2 linked regions of the Arabidopsis thaliana genome follow. Each later gene encodes a partner of the first gene's protein in a complex. Each region holds a gene or a part of one and is shown in the gene's direction. Other genes may lie near its edges.

Region 1 (7,849 bases):
GAAGCTCGTGAACTCTGCGAATCCGGTCACGAGTAAGGTGTATTAATAAAAGCTCTTTTGGATTGGTAGTGATAATGGCTTTACGAATAAATGAGCTTTATTTAGAATTTGATCCAAAAATTTGATATCAGATTTAAGACAGAAGATGGAGAAGACGACAAATTCTTGAGTTTAACGATGTTGAGATTGAACAAAAGAGCAAGAATGGTCAAAAACGGTGGGCCTTGAGGGTAAGTTTGACATTTACGATGGGGATTATCCGGTTTGGCCATTTCCATGCCATTTCAAATATAAACTAATAAAAGTTTACTAAAGCTTATTGTATTAGCAATTAAATATTACTAGTGAATAGTATTTTCATTACTGGCGAGATAAGTTGGTTTGAAAATTTCTTTATTCGACGTATAAATTGGTTTTATCTATGATAACCAGCCCGGTTCGATGAACAGATGAGGCGGATATTGAAGATAACCGTGTGTTTAGTGGGGAAATGACGAATTTGACCTTGAAGCGTGTGAGGTATTACGTCGACAAGAGAATCTTTCGGTGGGATTACAACCGGGTAAAAGATGGCACGTGGGGCCTGGTTACTCCCACGTGAGCCACACCAAACAAATCTTACGTTATTTTGAATGTGTTTTATCACGAAGACAAAAAATGCCAAGAGAATCGAAACAAACAAAAAAAACATAAATAGAAAGCAAAGATCTATTGAAAATTACATCAGAATCATTGTAAAACATTAATAGAAAGCCAAAACCTATTGAAAATTACATCATAATCATTGTAATTTAACATTCACATGATCCCATCATAATCAAAACAAAGTAGGTTCAATGAAAACAACGAAAATTTGTCACCAAAGTTAAGTAGGAGTGAGAAAAATGGTTTCCTCGTTCATTTGATTACAAAGATAACCATAGAAACTTACCATACTCGTAACAAAACCAACTATACCAAAACTAACCAAACCCCTAAACCGCTTCTTCTTCATCTTCTCGGTTCTTCTCATCGCCAACTTCTCTTCTAATGAATTCGCATCTTGATATTCTGCATGTAACGATTCAACCAACGAGCGAACCAAAGTGGTCTCATCTACACCACCACCACTTTCCAAACTCTGCAAGTCCAGTTGGTTGATTGGACCGGTCTTTTCCTTGAAAGCCTCTTCAAGTTCGGTTAACCTCTTAGCCATGAAACGAAGTTTCAACATCTCTTCTTCGTCTTCATCGTCCTTAACCGACGATATCTCCGCACATAAAAGGGTTTGCGTGAAAACAAACCGGGTTCCGAATTCCCGGTATGCGTTAAGATCACCATTGCCAGAACCGAATTCTTGTAGGTAATACTCAAGTTCTTCGAGTTTCTTCCCCAAGATTGTGTTTGCTTTCGCCTTCGTCGTCTTCATCCTTTTCTTAAACAATTATTTCTCCCATTTTCGAAAGGTTTTAAACTCTTAAAAATAACTTCTCGTAGTCGATCGGATGGCGACGGTTAATGTGAAGCTACACGTATCATAAATATAACTGTCCAAGGCCAAGGTTACGTGGCCTATAGAAATTAGATCCTATAGTTTTGCTCCCTCGACGATATCGATATCCGTTGTGTGGATCTGCGCCATGCATGTCGAACATGATATATGTGCATTAACAAACATAGCACCATTCATTAGTCATATTCAAACAAGGAATGAACCATTAATTTGTGGGTGTGAAGCAGAGTGGGATATCGTTGTTAACATATGAAGTATACATGTATAAAATTGTACAGAATGTATTTGATACCATCAAACCTTCTGAATGGTGTGGAAGGTTTCAGAACTGTTCCCAAAGTTCACTTTCCCGCTCCTTGTGTTCCCAAATCGAAATGCCCTTGTTTTCAAAATCCCAAATCGACTCCTAATTATCTTCAACTAAAAAACCAAAATTGACTTCAGATTCGCCTTCTTCTTCTCTTGCAACGTTTCAATTTCATGTGCCTTCGACCTTAGATTCCAATTTTGAATTCGAATTTCTGGGGTTTCGATTGAGCTCTTCTCGCTTTTTTCTAGGGTTTTGTCGCATATGCTGCGAGTGTGAGTGGAAATTTGGGGGAAGAAGAAGAAGGAAGATGCATATAAAGGAGATATGCTTGGAGGGTTTTAAATCATACGCGACGAGGACGGTGGTTTCTGGTTTCGATCCACATTTCAACGCGATAACGGGTCTGAATGGTTCGGGAAAATCCAACATCCTCGATTCCATCTGTTTCGTTCTGGGTATCACCAATCTTCAGCAAGTTCGAGCTGCTAATCTTCAGGAACTCGTCTATAAGCAAGGCCAAGCTGGGATTACTAAGGCGACTGTCTCGGTTACCTTTGACAATTCCGAGAGACACAGAAGCCCTCTCGGCTACGAAGAACATCCAGAGATTACTGTGACTAGACAAGTATGTTCTTTGTTTCTCTTTTGTTGTACTCATCAATTCATGTGCTTGACAAAATTTGAGACTTTAACTTGGAATTGTGTATCTTTTGGTGTTAAAAAGATTGTAGTTGGTGGAAGGAACAAGTATTTGATAAATGGGAAGCTAGCACAACCAAGTCAAGTTCAGAATCTATTTCACTCGGTGCAGCTTAATGTCAACAATCCACACTTTCTCATCATGCAAGGGCGTATCACCAAAGTTTTGAATATGAAGCCTCCGGAGATATTGTCCATGCTTGAAGAAGCTGCTGGAACAAGGATGTATGAAAACAAGAAAGAGGCTGCATTGAAAACGCTTGAAAAAAAGCAGACCAAGGTTGATGAGATTAATAAGCTTCTTGATCATGAAATATTGCCGGCTCTCGAGAAGTTGAGGAAAGAAAAATCACAGTACATGCAGTGGGCTAATGGTAACGCGGAGCTAGATCGACTAAGGAGATTCTGTATTGCCTTTGAATATGTTCAAGCGGAGAAGATTAGAGACAATGCTGTTCTTGGAGTTGGAGAAATGAAGGCGAAGCTCGGGAAGATTGACGCGGAAACAGAAAAGACACAGGAAGAAATACAGGAATTTGAGAAACAGATAAAAGCTCTGACTCAGGCAAAGGAAGCCAGTATGGGGGGAGAAGTAAAAACTCTGTCAGAAAAAGTGGATTCACTGGCTCAAGAAATGACACGTGAGTCATCTAAACTTAATAACAAGGAGGACACCCTTCTGGGAGAAAAAGAGAATGTTGAAAAGGTTAGAGACTGAAGAAAATTATTTCTGTTGCCAGAATGTTATAGATTCTCAGCTATTTCTGGCGTAAATAACTTCCTACTTGGTGTTGACAGATTGTTCACAGTATAGAAGATTTAAAGAAATCCGTAAAGGAGAGAGCCGCTGCTGTGAAGAAGTCTGAGGAAGGAGCGGCAGACCTAAAACAAAGATTCCAGGAACTCTCCACCACATTGGAAGAGTGTGAAAAGGAACACCAGGTAGTACCACTAAAAAAGTATCTCTATTCCATGCCAAATAATATCCATTCGTTTTATGTTAATTGGCTTTATGTCCTTTGATTATTAGGGCGTACTAGCTGGTAAGAGTAGTGGAGATGAAGAGAAATGCTTAGAAGATCAACTACGGGATGCAAAGATTGCTGTTGGAACAGCTGGAACAGAGTTGAAACAGCTAAAAACCAAAATAGAACACTGTGAAAAGGAGCTAAAGGAGAGAAAGTCTCAGTTAATGTCAAAACTTGAAGAAGCCATTGAAGTGGAGAATGAACTTGGAGCTAGGAAAAATGATGTGGAACATGTAAAAAAGGCACTTGAATCTATTCCTTATAACGAGGGTCAAATGGAAGCTTTGGAGAAGGTTAGCATGGTCACTTTAGTTGATTTTGTCTTTTTCTACAGAAAGTATACTTCTCTGACTGAAATATATATTTAGGACCGTGGAGCCGAACTTGAAGTTGTGCAGAGGCTGGAAGATAAAGTGCGTGGCTTATCAGCTCAATTAGCAAATTTTCAGTTTACATACAGCGATCCTGTGAGGAACTTTGACCGATCTAAGGTGAAAGGTGTGGTCGCAAAACTAATAAAAGTAAAAGATAGGTCCTCAATGACAGCGTTGGAGGTAGACTGGATATCTTATCATTTCACAATAAACACTGTTGGGATTTCAATTGCCTGAAGTCACTTTGCTTCTTGTTTCCAGGTTACTGCTGGTGGCAAGTTGTATGATGTTGTTGTAGACTCAGAAGATACTGGAAAACAGCTCCTTCAAAACGGTGCTCTTAGGAGAAGAGTTACAATTATACCTCTGAACAAAATCCAATCTTACGTTGTTCAGCCTAGAGTGCAGCAAGCGACTGCTAGATTGGTATGTGGATCTTTTGTTTGGTCCATTTAGATTTAATCTCTTTGTTTTCATTTTCATTGCTAATTTTTTATTATATATTTTCAGGTTGGAAAGGATAATGCAGAACTGGCACTTTCCTTAGTCGGTTATAGTGATGAATTAAAGGTACACGCCTGCACAGAGTAACATGAATCTGATATATAATCCTCTATTTTTCAAGTTTTCAAGAATACATAATAAATTTCAAGTTCAAGCTCATATTTGTGTGAATCATGGTATTTTGCAGAATGCCATGGAATATGTTTTTGGCTCCACTTTTGTTTGCAAAACTACTGATGTAGCAAAGGAAGTAAGTATTTCCTAAGCATTTAGTATTATATGTGGGCAGGGCCTTCAGTTTTTCTTTCTTGTGAGATGATGTCAGCTTATATATAAATCTTTACGTGGAATATGTGGTGTGTACATTTTTTTAATTGCCTAAGCTTGTTTTTAGTAACTCTTGACGGATAATCTATTCTAAAGTTTATCACTTTTGTTGGGGTTATAACTTATAAGTGCAACATATACCTTGAGTTTATTCCCACTGTCTTAGCTACTATTTGATAGTTTTGATTTATTGCTTTTGCCTCTAGAGTTCAGTCTTTGATGTGCCCCTCATTGCTTCTTCTGCAGGTTGCTTTTAATCGGGATATTCGGACTCCAAGTGTCACACTTGAAGGTGACATTTTCCAGCCAAGTGGTCTTCTTACTGGTGGGAGTCGCAAGTATGTCTTTCTTTCTTGGACGCTTATATCTCTAGTGAGAGTCATCTCCTTATAAAAGTATTTTGGTCTTTTTTTTTTCCTTTGCCTTAGGGGTGGAGGTGATCGCCTTAGGAAACTTCATGACCTGGCAGAAGCTGAATCAGAATTACAAGGACACCAAAAAAGGTTGGCTGACGTTGAATCACAGGTAAACCCCTATTCTTCCGTGATAAGTCTAAATACAACTTGGAATTGAACAGGTGCTAGCCATATTTTGAAATTACTAAGAAAATGATAAGGCAGTAGCTTAGTAATGGTCTCTGATTGCTCTCTCTAGACTCCTCATGTCACACAGTTATAAAGTACTTTCAGTATTTTAAACGTAAACTGCTGATTTATCTTGACATGACAGATCAAAGAGCTTCAGCCTCTTCAAATGAAATTCACAGATGTTTATGCACAGTTGGAGCTGAAGACGTATGACTTGTCCTTATTTTTGAAGAGGGCTGAACAAAATGAGCATCACAAGGTTATATCTCCATCTTCTATCTATATCTTTCAAGCTAAATTATCTGCGTCGTTGGTTTTTTTGTGGTACTTGAATCACATACATTTATACTTTCCATCACCTGTTGTATACACAGCTTGGCGAAGCTGTAAAAAAACTTGAAGAAGAGCTTGAAGAAGCGAAATCCCAAATCAAAGAGAAGGAACTTGCTTATAAAAATTGTTTTGATGCTGTTTCCAAACTAGAGAATTCCATCAAAGACCATGACAAAAACAGAGAAGGAAGACTTAAGGACTTGGAAAAAAATATTAAAACCATCAAAGCTCAAATGCAGGCAGCTTCCAAAGATTTAAAGGTATTTTATATTTTTTGGTCAGTTACTTCCATGCCATTGAACTTCTTGAATCCATTTTTCTTTTCCTTATCCTGGGTTATCCAGTTTTATCATGGAAGCATTGCCTTCTTTTGAATTTGCTGTAACGTTGTCTCTGGTTCGTCATGCGCATAGAGTCATGAAAATGAAAAAGAGAAGCTTGTGATGGAGGAAGAAGCAATGAAGCAAGAACAATCGTCCTTGGAGAGCCACTTAACTTCATTGGAAACCCAAATCAGCACTCTGACTTCGGAAGTAGACGAGCAGCGAGCCAAGGTGCTGTAGTTTTGCTACTCTTGGTGAAGTTTGTTGAAAATAAAGAAATATATCATGTTAATATATGATTCCCCTGCAGGTTGATGCCTTACAGAAGATTCATGATGAGTCTCTTGCCGAGCTCAAGTTGATACATGCAAAGATGAAGGAATGTGATACACAGATAAGTGGTTTTGTCACTGACCAGGAAAAGTGTCTGCAGAAGCTTAGTGACATGAAGCTTGAGAGAAAGAAATTGGAAAATGAGGTACTTTCTGTTTCTGTTCTATTCCTGTTTCTAGGTTTTGCAAAGCTACAAGCCATGCTTGTTTCTTCCTCACTACCAATCTGATTTATGCTGTTCTTGCACTTCGTATAAAAATCTTTCGTATTCACTAATCTTGCCTATTAAGAGTTTCTGCCTTGGATTTCTTTAAAATTTTGAAAGTTCAGTAATTGCGTTAAAGTTCAAACGTCTCAATGGGTAACATACAGCTGTTGGGGATGGTGAGTGAATTAGTAATTGCATAGAAAATTAAGACTTTCTTGTAACGTGATTTTGATATAAAATTGGAAAAGTTCAGTAGTTTCTGAAATTTCTGCATGTCAAGGAATATACTTTTCGTGACAACTGTCTCTTCCAATTTATTTATAGGTCGTAAGGATGGAAACGGATCACAAGGACTGTTCCGTGAAAGTAGACAAACTTGTTGAGAAGCATACATGGATAGCATCTGAAAAGCAACTTTTTGGGAAAGGAGGGACAGATTATGATTTTGAATCTTGTGATCCGTATGTGGCCAGAGAAAAACTTGAAAAGCTCCAATCAGATCAATCAGGGTATGTGTATGAGAATTAACGTTTTATCTTTATGAAACCTATATTATATTGTCGTCACATCATTGAAGTGAAATATCAATATGACATGCATTCTTCTTCTTTTCCTGGTTATTTATTTCCCTCATGAAGCTTGGAAAAAAGAGTGAACAAGAAGGTTATGGCTATGTTTGAGAAAGCAGAAGATGAATACAATGCTCTGATATCGAAAAAAAATACTATCGAGGTTAGTTACAGAGGACAGAGGGCCTTTGCAATGTATTTCAATAGCTTCGTGTGCCATCATAACACAATTTTTTCGGTTTTTTTCCTAGAATGACAAATCAAAAATCACGAAAGTGATCGAGGAGCTTGATGAGAAGAAAAAAGAAACCCTGAAAGTTACTTGGGTTAAAGTTAACCAGTGAGTGTCTTTCTAATCTCCAACAAAGAGTTTGTCTTTGCTCTTAGGCTCATGATCTCATTCCTCAATGTCTGAAAAGATAATATGATATTAGCCTTTGTTAAATCCTTCTTTTTTATTAGGGATTTCGGATCAATCTTTTCAACTCTACTACCTGGCACCATGGCAAAACTAGAACCTCCTGAAGACGGTAACTTCCTTGATGGTCTTGAGGTGCGTGTTGCCTTTGGAAAAGTCTGGAAGCAGTCTTTATCAGAACTCAGTGGAGGGCAAAGATCTCTTCTTGCGCTATCACTAATATTGGCATTGCTTCTCTTCAAACCGGCTCCTCTTTATATATTAGATGAGGTACATCTCTGCTTTTCAATTTCAGATTTCTCAGTTTCCAATTGATATTTCAAATTATCATAGAAGATCTATAG
Region 2 (7,878 bases), on another chromosome or scaffold:
GAACAGCTAATTGGACCACATCTTAATTAAAAATAACACTAATTGGACTACACATAAACAACATGGGAAGAAGTTGAATTGCACAAGGCAAAAACTCCTTGAAGATTCTTTATTATTTTTGGTACTTTGTTCTTTGTCTTTTACTCTTTTCAATAAGGGAAGAGGAAAGATTCGAAATTCAGAACCTAACACTACAAAGACTAAATATGATATAAGGAAGATATGCATAAGACAAAAAGCTAATATAAGAGGAAAGCTCAATAGTTTTAGAGGTGGATCTTGACAGATAAAAATGTTTGGTTCTTCATTGAATATTTGAATGTAATAGATTTCTTTGACGCCAATGAGCTAAATATATACAAAGTAAATTCAAAGGGAAAAATCATTTTCTCTTGTGTGATCTTCCAAGCAGAAGAGGCTAAAAAAGATTTCTTGAAATTGATAGAAACTCAATTGTTTCAGCAACATTTTTTCACAAGTATGAGGTCACATATGTTCTGGAATTCTACAAACTATATACTATACACATATACTGCTGCTCTGCTCTCTCTCTACCTCTCTCTGTCTGTCAAAATGTTTCATAGTTAAGAACCTTGCCAGCGTACCAACAGAAGATATGATAGAACCTTACTTGTGTACTCTGCGCATTTACTGCTGTAAAAGCCCTTCCTGAATTCAGAAAGGCCTGAATGCAAAACAATGACTAGTAAGCTAAGGAGAAAAACTAAAACAAAAGGTAATCTTCAGGATTATAAAACATGCTTCCAGGAATGTTTTGGTACTGAAGCTAAGAAGGTATTATCACCTATGAACTGTTTTCCAGACAATCACTTAAGCATATGGATCATATCATCAATGCTGATGTACTTATGTAGAGAGGAGATAAATTATCTGAGCATGTGAATGATCCTGAGGATACTTGTATCGACACAAAAACCAGCTACTATGAGAGATAAACTCAAGCAGCTGAGCAAAAGGAAACGAGCATTATATGCATCCCAGAGTTGCTGATCAGAACAAATACAACCAAATTGGAGTTGAGAAATCTCGATTTTTGTTCATGGGCCATTAACAAGCATCATTAACATAACAACATCCATGCGAATCCATAAGATATGTATAGTTTCATATACGAAGCCGAACTTTAGTTACACATACACACACTGAGTGACTGAGACATATATCAATCACTTCCACCAAAAATTGTTCCCTTTTCGACCAAAATGATCTATCTTTATCCTCTATAAACTCAAACTATTATCAATTTCAGAGTTTGTAGGGAAATTTGAAGCGACTCTAATCTAAAACAACAGAGCAAAACAAAAAAAAACGTAAAATTTGGGGAAGAGAAGAACATATACGCACAGAAGGAGAGCTAAGGATCTCGAATTCAATCATCCGACGTGGAAAGGACCAATATCTCCGTTTCTCAGAGAACCAGCGATCTCATCAGCGATAGCCACGCAAGTGAAAACCCAACCACTCAGAGAAAACCAAACCATTCTCATCAGATACATCGCCATGCCCAGCGGCATCGCCATCTCAAAGCTTTTCTGCTTCTTTCTCTCTCTTTCGTCAGATCAAATGATTGGCCGGCGAAGCCATTAGAGTGGCCAAAAGCTTGGGGAAAAAAAAATCAAAGATGATTCGGTAGGTTCAAGGATCTTCCAACCATTTAGATTCGGCCACGTCTTCGTCGTATTTATTCACCAGCCGACGGAGACTCATAATTAAATTCGAGGGCCCACATGAAGATAAAATAATTAGGATCCGACCCGGTTTTGTATCCGGAACCCGACCCGATAGGATGATCCATGGATTCCCGCTCCGTTGCCTTTTTCGATTTCATTTTGAAATTGAAATTCCCCAAAAGGTAGATTCTTCTTTCTCTCTCTCTCCTCTGAGCAACGTCTCTCTCTCTCTCTAGAAAAAATGGCTCCTCCCTTTGTATTCCCTCAAATTCTACGAGCCCTAGAAGAAGATCCGGAGGATAATCACCGTTTGTTCGCTCAGAATCCCGTCGATGTAACCTCTCTTCGCCCTTCCGATCTGGAAGAATTCGTCAAAGGTAAATTGTCTTTGTCTCTCCACTGTATGAGCGTATCTGAGATGCAATTGCGAGAGGGTTTAGATTTGCTTTGCAATCCCAATTTGGGAGGAAAATTGCATTATGTATGTTGATAGTGTCCTTAGTCACCTGAGTCGTCAGGTAGGTTTAGTGGGAATTCGTGTCTACAAGCGAAGCTGAACAATATGAAATTGATTAAATTTAAGTCGAGAGAAATTTCATTTAGTGCGTTTCTGGAGTCAAATTTCTTCTATGACTCTTGTGATTGATATGTGAGGCATTTTGTTTACTTTCGTCTCGTGGAACAGGTGTATCCTTTGACCTTTCTGATAGAGAACTCTTTTGTGTCGAGGATCAAGATGTATTTGATCGTGTCTACTCTTTGGTCAGGAGCTTCTTTAGTCTTCCTCCATCTTGCAAGTGTAATCTTGTAGAAAGCCTTCGGTCCAATCTAAGCGTTCTTCTTCCCAATGTCGATTCGATATCCCGGTCTGTCCAAGATCAGGAGGATGATGTTCCAATCATTGATAGGATCACATCACATCGCAATGCCTTGAAGATATACACTTTCTTTCTCCTCACTGTTGTTATGAATGAGGAATCACACATCAGCTCAGTCGAGACTACAAAGGTGTTCTCTCTTTTTCCAGCTGATAATACAGAATAAAATTCATCTCTTGTTGTCGAATTTACGGTAGTGATGTTGTGGATGAACAGGTTGCAGCACGAGGGAGGAAAAAGCAAATCATCCAGTCATGGAACTGGGAACCTCAGAGGGGTAGGATGCTCAATTTGATCGCAAATTCTCTTGAAATCAACCTATCCTTGCTCTTTGGATCATCAGACCTAGACGAAAACTACCTGTCTTTCATTGTCAAGTAATTTCCGTGACCTAATGAATCTTGTTTCTTTCATAGTCCATGCTATAGATACATTCTCACAACATTTTCATATCATTTCCTTGTAGAAACTCGTTCACTCTTTTTGAAAATGCCACAATCTTAAAAGATGCCGAGACAAAAGATGCACTGTGCCGAATCATCGGAGCATCTGCTACAAAATACCACTACATTGTGCAGTCATGTGCCTCAATCATGCACTTGATACACAAGTATGATTTTGCTGTTGTACACATTGCTGATGCAGTTGCTAGAGCTGAAAGCAAGTATTCAGATGGTACGTTGGCAGTGACAATCATTAGAGATATTGGGAGGACTGACCCAAAGGCCTACGTTAAAGATACTGCTGGGGCTGATAATGTGGGACGTTTCCTGGTCGAGCTTGCTGATCGTTTGCCAAAATTAATGTCGACAAATGTTGGAGTTCTGGTCCCTCATTTTGGTGGTGAATCATACAAGATAAGAAACGCACTAGTTGGTGTTCTTGGGAAATTAGTTGCAAAAGCATTTAATGATGTCGAGGGAGATATGAGTTCCAAGTCCCTTCGTCTGCGAACTAAGCAAGCTATGTTGGAAATTTTGCTCGAACGCTGTAGAGATGTTTCAGCCTATACAAGGAGCCGTGTTCTTCAAGTGTGGGCTGAACTCTGTGAAGAGCATTCTGTTTCAATTGGCCTATGGAATGAAGTTGCATCACTATCTGCTGGAAGACTGGAAGATAAGAGTGCAATTGTTAGAAAATCCGCATTGAATTTACTGATCATGATGTTGCAACATAACCCCTTTGGTCCACAGCTGCGGATAGCTTCATTTGAAGCAACCCTGGAGCAGTATAAAAGAAAACTGAACGAACTTGAACCTACTGAGCATGCATCAAAAGAGTCAACTTCAGATGGTGAATCCTGTAATGGAGATGGTGAAATCGATGACTTGCATCTTGAAACTACAACTAAGATTCATCAAGATAGTCTATCTGATAGCTGTCAGCCAGAGAATGGAGAAGAAATCAGTGAGAAGGATGTTTCTGTTCCAGATATTGGTAACGTTGAGCAAACCAAGGCTTTGATTGCTTCCCTAGAGGCTGGATTGAGGTTCTCGAAGTGCATGTCAGCCAGTATGCCAATCCTCGTTCAATTAATGGCTTCATCTTCTGCCACTGATGTTGAGAATGCTATTCTTTTGCTGATGAGGTGTAAGCAGTTCCAAATTGACGGTGCAGAAGCTTGTCTCCGTAAAATTCTGCCTCTGGTATGGTCGCTTATCATGTATCAAACTCATAAGAATACATTCTTCTGACATTTTTCAGTTAGCATCCTCTTAATACATTGTGCTAAAAACCTTGTTTATTGTTGTCTTTGCAGGCCTTTTCTCAGGATAAGTCTATCTATGAGGCAGTAGAGAATGCCTTCATCTCAATCTACATAAGGAAAAATCCAGTTGACACGGCGAAACAGCTGTTGAACCTTGCCATAGATTCGAATATAGGAGATCAGGCAGCACTAGAGTTTATTGTTAATGCTTTAGTGTCAAAAGGTGAAATATCTAGCAGCACGGTAGGTTCCTTCTGTGACTCCAGCGTATGAGTATGCTATGAATTATGGTCACTTGATACGTGTAGTCTGCTTATGCACAGTCAAGAACAACTAAAAATAATGAGCGTTTGATTATTGATTAAATTTCTCGAGCGAAAAGGATTTTCACCTGCTAGAGGCTAATAAGTGCTTCTATCATTTTTCTGTTTGTAGACATCAGCTCTATGGGACTTCTTTTGCTTTAACATCAATGGGACAACTGCTGAGCAAAGTCGTGGGGCTCTATCTATCCTTTGCATGGCTGCAAAGTCGTCCCCTAGGATTCTTGGATCACACATACAGGATATTATTGATATTGGGTTTGGCCGTTGGGCAAAAGTGGAACCTCTACTTGCCAGAACTGCATGTACTGTTATTCAGCGGTTCTCCGAGGAAGATAGGAAAAAGTTATTGCTCAGCAGTGGCAGCCGATTGTTTGGTATTCTTGAAAGCTTGATCACTGGGAACTGGCTTCCAGAAAATATATATTATGCAACTGCTGATAAAGCCATAAGTGCCATATACATGATCCACCCAACTCCAGAAACATTGGCTTCTACTATTATTAAAAAGTCCCTGAGCACTGTGTTTGACGTAGTTGAACAAGAGGAAGCACAGACTGATACCGAAAATAATAAAGTTGATATTTTGACTCCAGTTCAAGTGGCTAAACTCAGTAGATTTTTGTTCGCTGTCAGTCACATTGCCATGAACCAGTTGGTGTATATAGAATCCTGTATCCAGAAGATCCGGAGACAGAAGACTAAAAAGGACAAACCGGCTGCTGAAAGTCAGAACACAGAAGAAAACCTTGAGGCCACCCAAGAGGTACAGACCAATTTCGTAGAGCGCAGCTGGTGGCACAAATTTTACAACCCTAAAGGGTTATTTTTGCTGAATAATGCAAAGTTTTCTTTGTTTTGTAGAACAATGGCATAAATGCTGAGCTAGGACTTGCTGCCTCTGATGATGCACTGCTTGATACACTCGCTGAAAGAGCAGAGAGGGAAATTGTTTCTGGGGGTTCTGTTGAGAAGAATCTGATTGGGGAGTGTGCAACTTTTCTCTCTAAGCTTTGCAGAAATTTTTCTCTGCTGCAAAAGGTAGTTAGTTTTCTATTCATTCATTCTGTTTCATGGCGTGTGATGAAGTTAAAAGCCTTCTTTTGCTCTCACATTTATTTTGGATATACATGATAAAATGAAACTTGTCTTTTCATTCGTACAGCATCCTGAACTACAAGCTTCCGCAATGCTTGCATTATGCAGGTTTATGATTATTGATGCAAGTTTCTGGTGAGATTAAATCATTATCATATAGTCTATTTATCCTTTACAAAACTGAATTTATAGTTAAATTGATGCATTAAACTCAATGTATGCCAGCGAATCCAATCTTCAGCTTCTCTTCACAGTTGTTGAAAATGCACCGTCTGAAGTTGTACGATCGAATTGCACCCTTTCCCTTGGAGACTTGGCTGTTCGTTTTCCAAATCTTTTAGAACCTTGGACAGAAAATATGTATGCCAGGTTACGGGATGCTTCAGTTTCTGTCAGGAAAAATGCTGTCCTGGTCCTCTCACATCTTATATTGAATGATATGATGAAGGTTGGACTCCTTACCTCTCTCCTTGCTCTCTTTAAATATCTGCAATTATAGTTGGAGGTTTCATTTTGTGAATCCTGATTTCAGGTGAAAGGTTATATATATGAAATGGCTATATGTATAGAAGATGATGTGGAGAGGATCTCTAGTCTCGCAAAACTATTTTTCCATGAACTGTCTAAGAAAGGTCAGTTGCAATAGCTGCTTTACATGACATAGCAACTTCCACCTTTGAATCAAATTTAACACTTAAGTTTATTTTCTGCCAAACAAATCCAGGATCGAATCCCATATACAATCTACTTCCTGATATACTTGGGCAGTTATCCAACCGGAATTTAGAGAGGGAGTCATTCTGTAATGTCATGCAATTCTTGATCGGCTCCATCAAAAAGGTATACAGCTTTTCAATATTGAAGTTAGTATGACCTGTATTTATTCTTATCTAATCACTCATCTGCATCCTCATCAATCTCCAGGACAAACAGATGGAGGCTCTAGTTGAGAAGCTTTGCAATAGGTTTAGCGGAGTCACAGGTATGCTTGTATTGATGATATATCCTTACACCTGTTTTGGGTTTAATAAGAAGTATATCCCTTTGACATCTACACCTAAACTTGCAGATGGAAAACAGTGGGAATACATTTCGTATTCTCTTTCGCTGCTGACATTCACAGAAAAGGGAATCAAAAAGCTTATTGAGTCATTCAAGTCTTACGAGCACGCTTTAGCAGAGGATTTGGTGACCGAGAACTTTAGAAGCATAATCAATAAGGTCTGGTTTCTCTGGTTTTCGTCACCCTAGTCATTTTTAATGCTATATGTTAGTTTGACATCTGGTTGTGAATCTGAACAGGGAAAGAAGTTTGCGAAGCCAGAACTGAAAGCGTGTATCGAAGAGTTTGAAGAGAAGATCAACAAGTTCCACATGGAGAAGAAAGAACAAGAAGAAACCGCAAGAAATGCCGAGGTTCATAGAGAGAAAACCAAGACCATGGAATCCCTTGCTGTCCTCAGCAAAGTGAAAGAAGAACCTGTAGAAGAATATGATGAAGGTGAAGGTTAGTAATTTTTTGACTCTTGGCTAAAGCAAAGTTCACTGTACCAGACTTACGATAGTCAAATGCCAGTTAACGGCAAGCTTTTCAAAATGGACTGTTTTTTGTATTCTCAGGTGTTTCAGATAGTGAAATTGTGGATCCATCAATGGAAGAATCAGGCGATAATTTAGTTGAAACTGAGTCAGAGGAAGAGCCATCTGACTCGGAGGAAGAGCCAGATTCTGCACAATGTGGTACGGCCATTCCTCGTTATTTAAACCAAAAGACTAGTGGCGATAATTTGATTGAAACTGAGCCCGAGGAAGAGCAATCTGACTCGGAGCCAGATTCTGCACAATGTGGTACGACCAATCCTCGTTCCTTAAACCGAAAGACTAGTGGCGATAATTTGATTGAAACTGAGTCCGAGGAAGAGCAATCTGACTCAGAGGAAGAGCCATCTGACTCGGAGGAAGAGCCAGATTCTGCACAATGTGGTACGACCAATCCTCGTTCCTTAAACCAAAAGACTAGTGGCGGTATGTGAAAACTTCAATATGTATTTCAAAAATCTCACACAACTTAAGCTACATTTTAGAAATTGTTATATACCGTTAAGTAAAGTTGTGAGGTTTTCAGGGGAAGAAGGCGAATCAGAAAGCAAGAGTACAGAGTCATCGAGCAGCATCAGGAG

Evidence for each region. Proteins that work in one complex are often made in the same cells at the same time.
Region 2: SMC2 (region 1) and AT3G57060 share a complex: the UniProt entries of both Arabidopsis thaliana proteins name them as parts of the condensin complex.

Annotation. Positions count from the first base shown.
Region 1 is NC_003076.8:25,054,199-25,062,047, forward strand, and holds the start of SMC2 (structural maintenance of chromosomes 2), read left to right. Parts: upstream 1-1,826; 5' UTR 1,827-2,109; coding exon 2,110-2,427; intron 2,428-2,526; coding exon 2,527-3,207; intron 3,208-3,299; coding exon 3,300-3,443; intron 3,444-3,531; coding exon 3,532-3,822; intron 3,823-3,897; coding exon 3,898-4,083; intron 4,084-4,164; coding exon 4,165-4,329; intron 4,330-4,413; coding exon 4,414-4,473; intron 4,474-4,594; coding exon 4,595-4,657; intron 4,658-4,980; coding exon 4,981-5,072; intron 5,073-5,162; coding exon 5,163-5,259; intron 5,260-5,463; coding exon 5,464-5,580; intron 5,581-5,695; coding exon 5,696-5,914; intron 5,915-6,067; coding exon 6,068-6,208; intron 6,209-6,287; coding exon 6,288-6,455; intron 6,456-6,842; coding exon 6,843-7,027; intron 7,028-7,156; coding exon 7,157-7,250; intron 7,251-7,338; coding exon 7,339-7,427; intron 7,428-7,549; coding exon 7,550-7,775; intron 7,776-7,849. Other genes in the region: AT5G62400 (uncharacterized protein), read right to left, coding at 416-583, 932-1,408. UniProt on the Arabidopsis thaliana protein: Central component of the condensin complex, a complex required for conversion of interphase chromatin into mitotic-like condense chromosomes.
Region 2 is NC_003074.8:21,115,106-21,122,983, reverse strand, and holds the start of AT3G57060 (binding protein), read left to right. Parts: upstream 1-1,870; 5' UTR 1,871-1,932; coding exon 1,933-2,068; intron 2,069-2,376; coding exon 2,377-2,699; intron 2,700-2,785; coding exon 2,786-2,946; intron 2,947-3,035; coding exon 3,036-4,215; intron 4,216-4,328; coding exon 4,329-4,520; intron 4,521-4,712; coding exon 4,713-5,366; intron 5,367-5,464; coding exon 5,465-5,641; intron 5,642-5,765; coding exon 5,766-5,833; intron 5,834-5,923; coding exon 5,924-6,146; intron 6,147-6,230; coding exon 6,231-6,330; intron 6,331-6,422; coding exon 6,423-6,538; intron 6,539-6,622; coding exon 6,623-6,680; intron 6,681-6,767; coding exon 6,768-6,919; intron 6,920-7,000; coding exon 7,001-7,205; intron 7,206-7,318; coding exon 7,319-7,723; intron 7,724-7,808; coding exon 7,809-7,878. Other genes in the region: AT3G57062 (uncharacterized protein), read right to left, coding at 1,395-1,541. UniProt on the Arabidopsis thaliana protein: Essential protein. Regulatory subunit of the condensin complex, a complex required for conversion of interphase chromatin into mitotic-like condense chromosomes.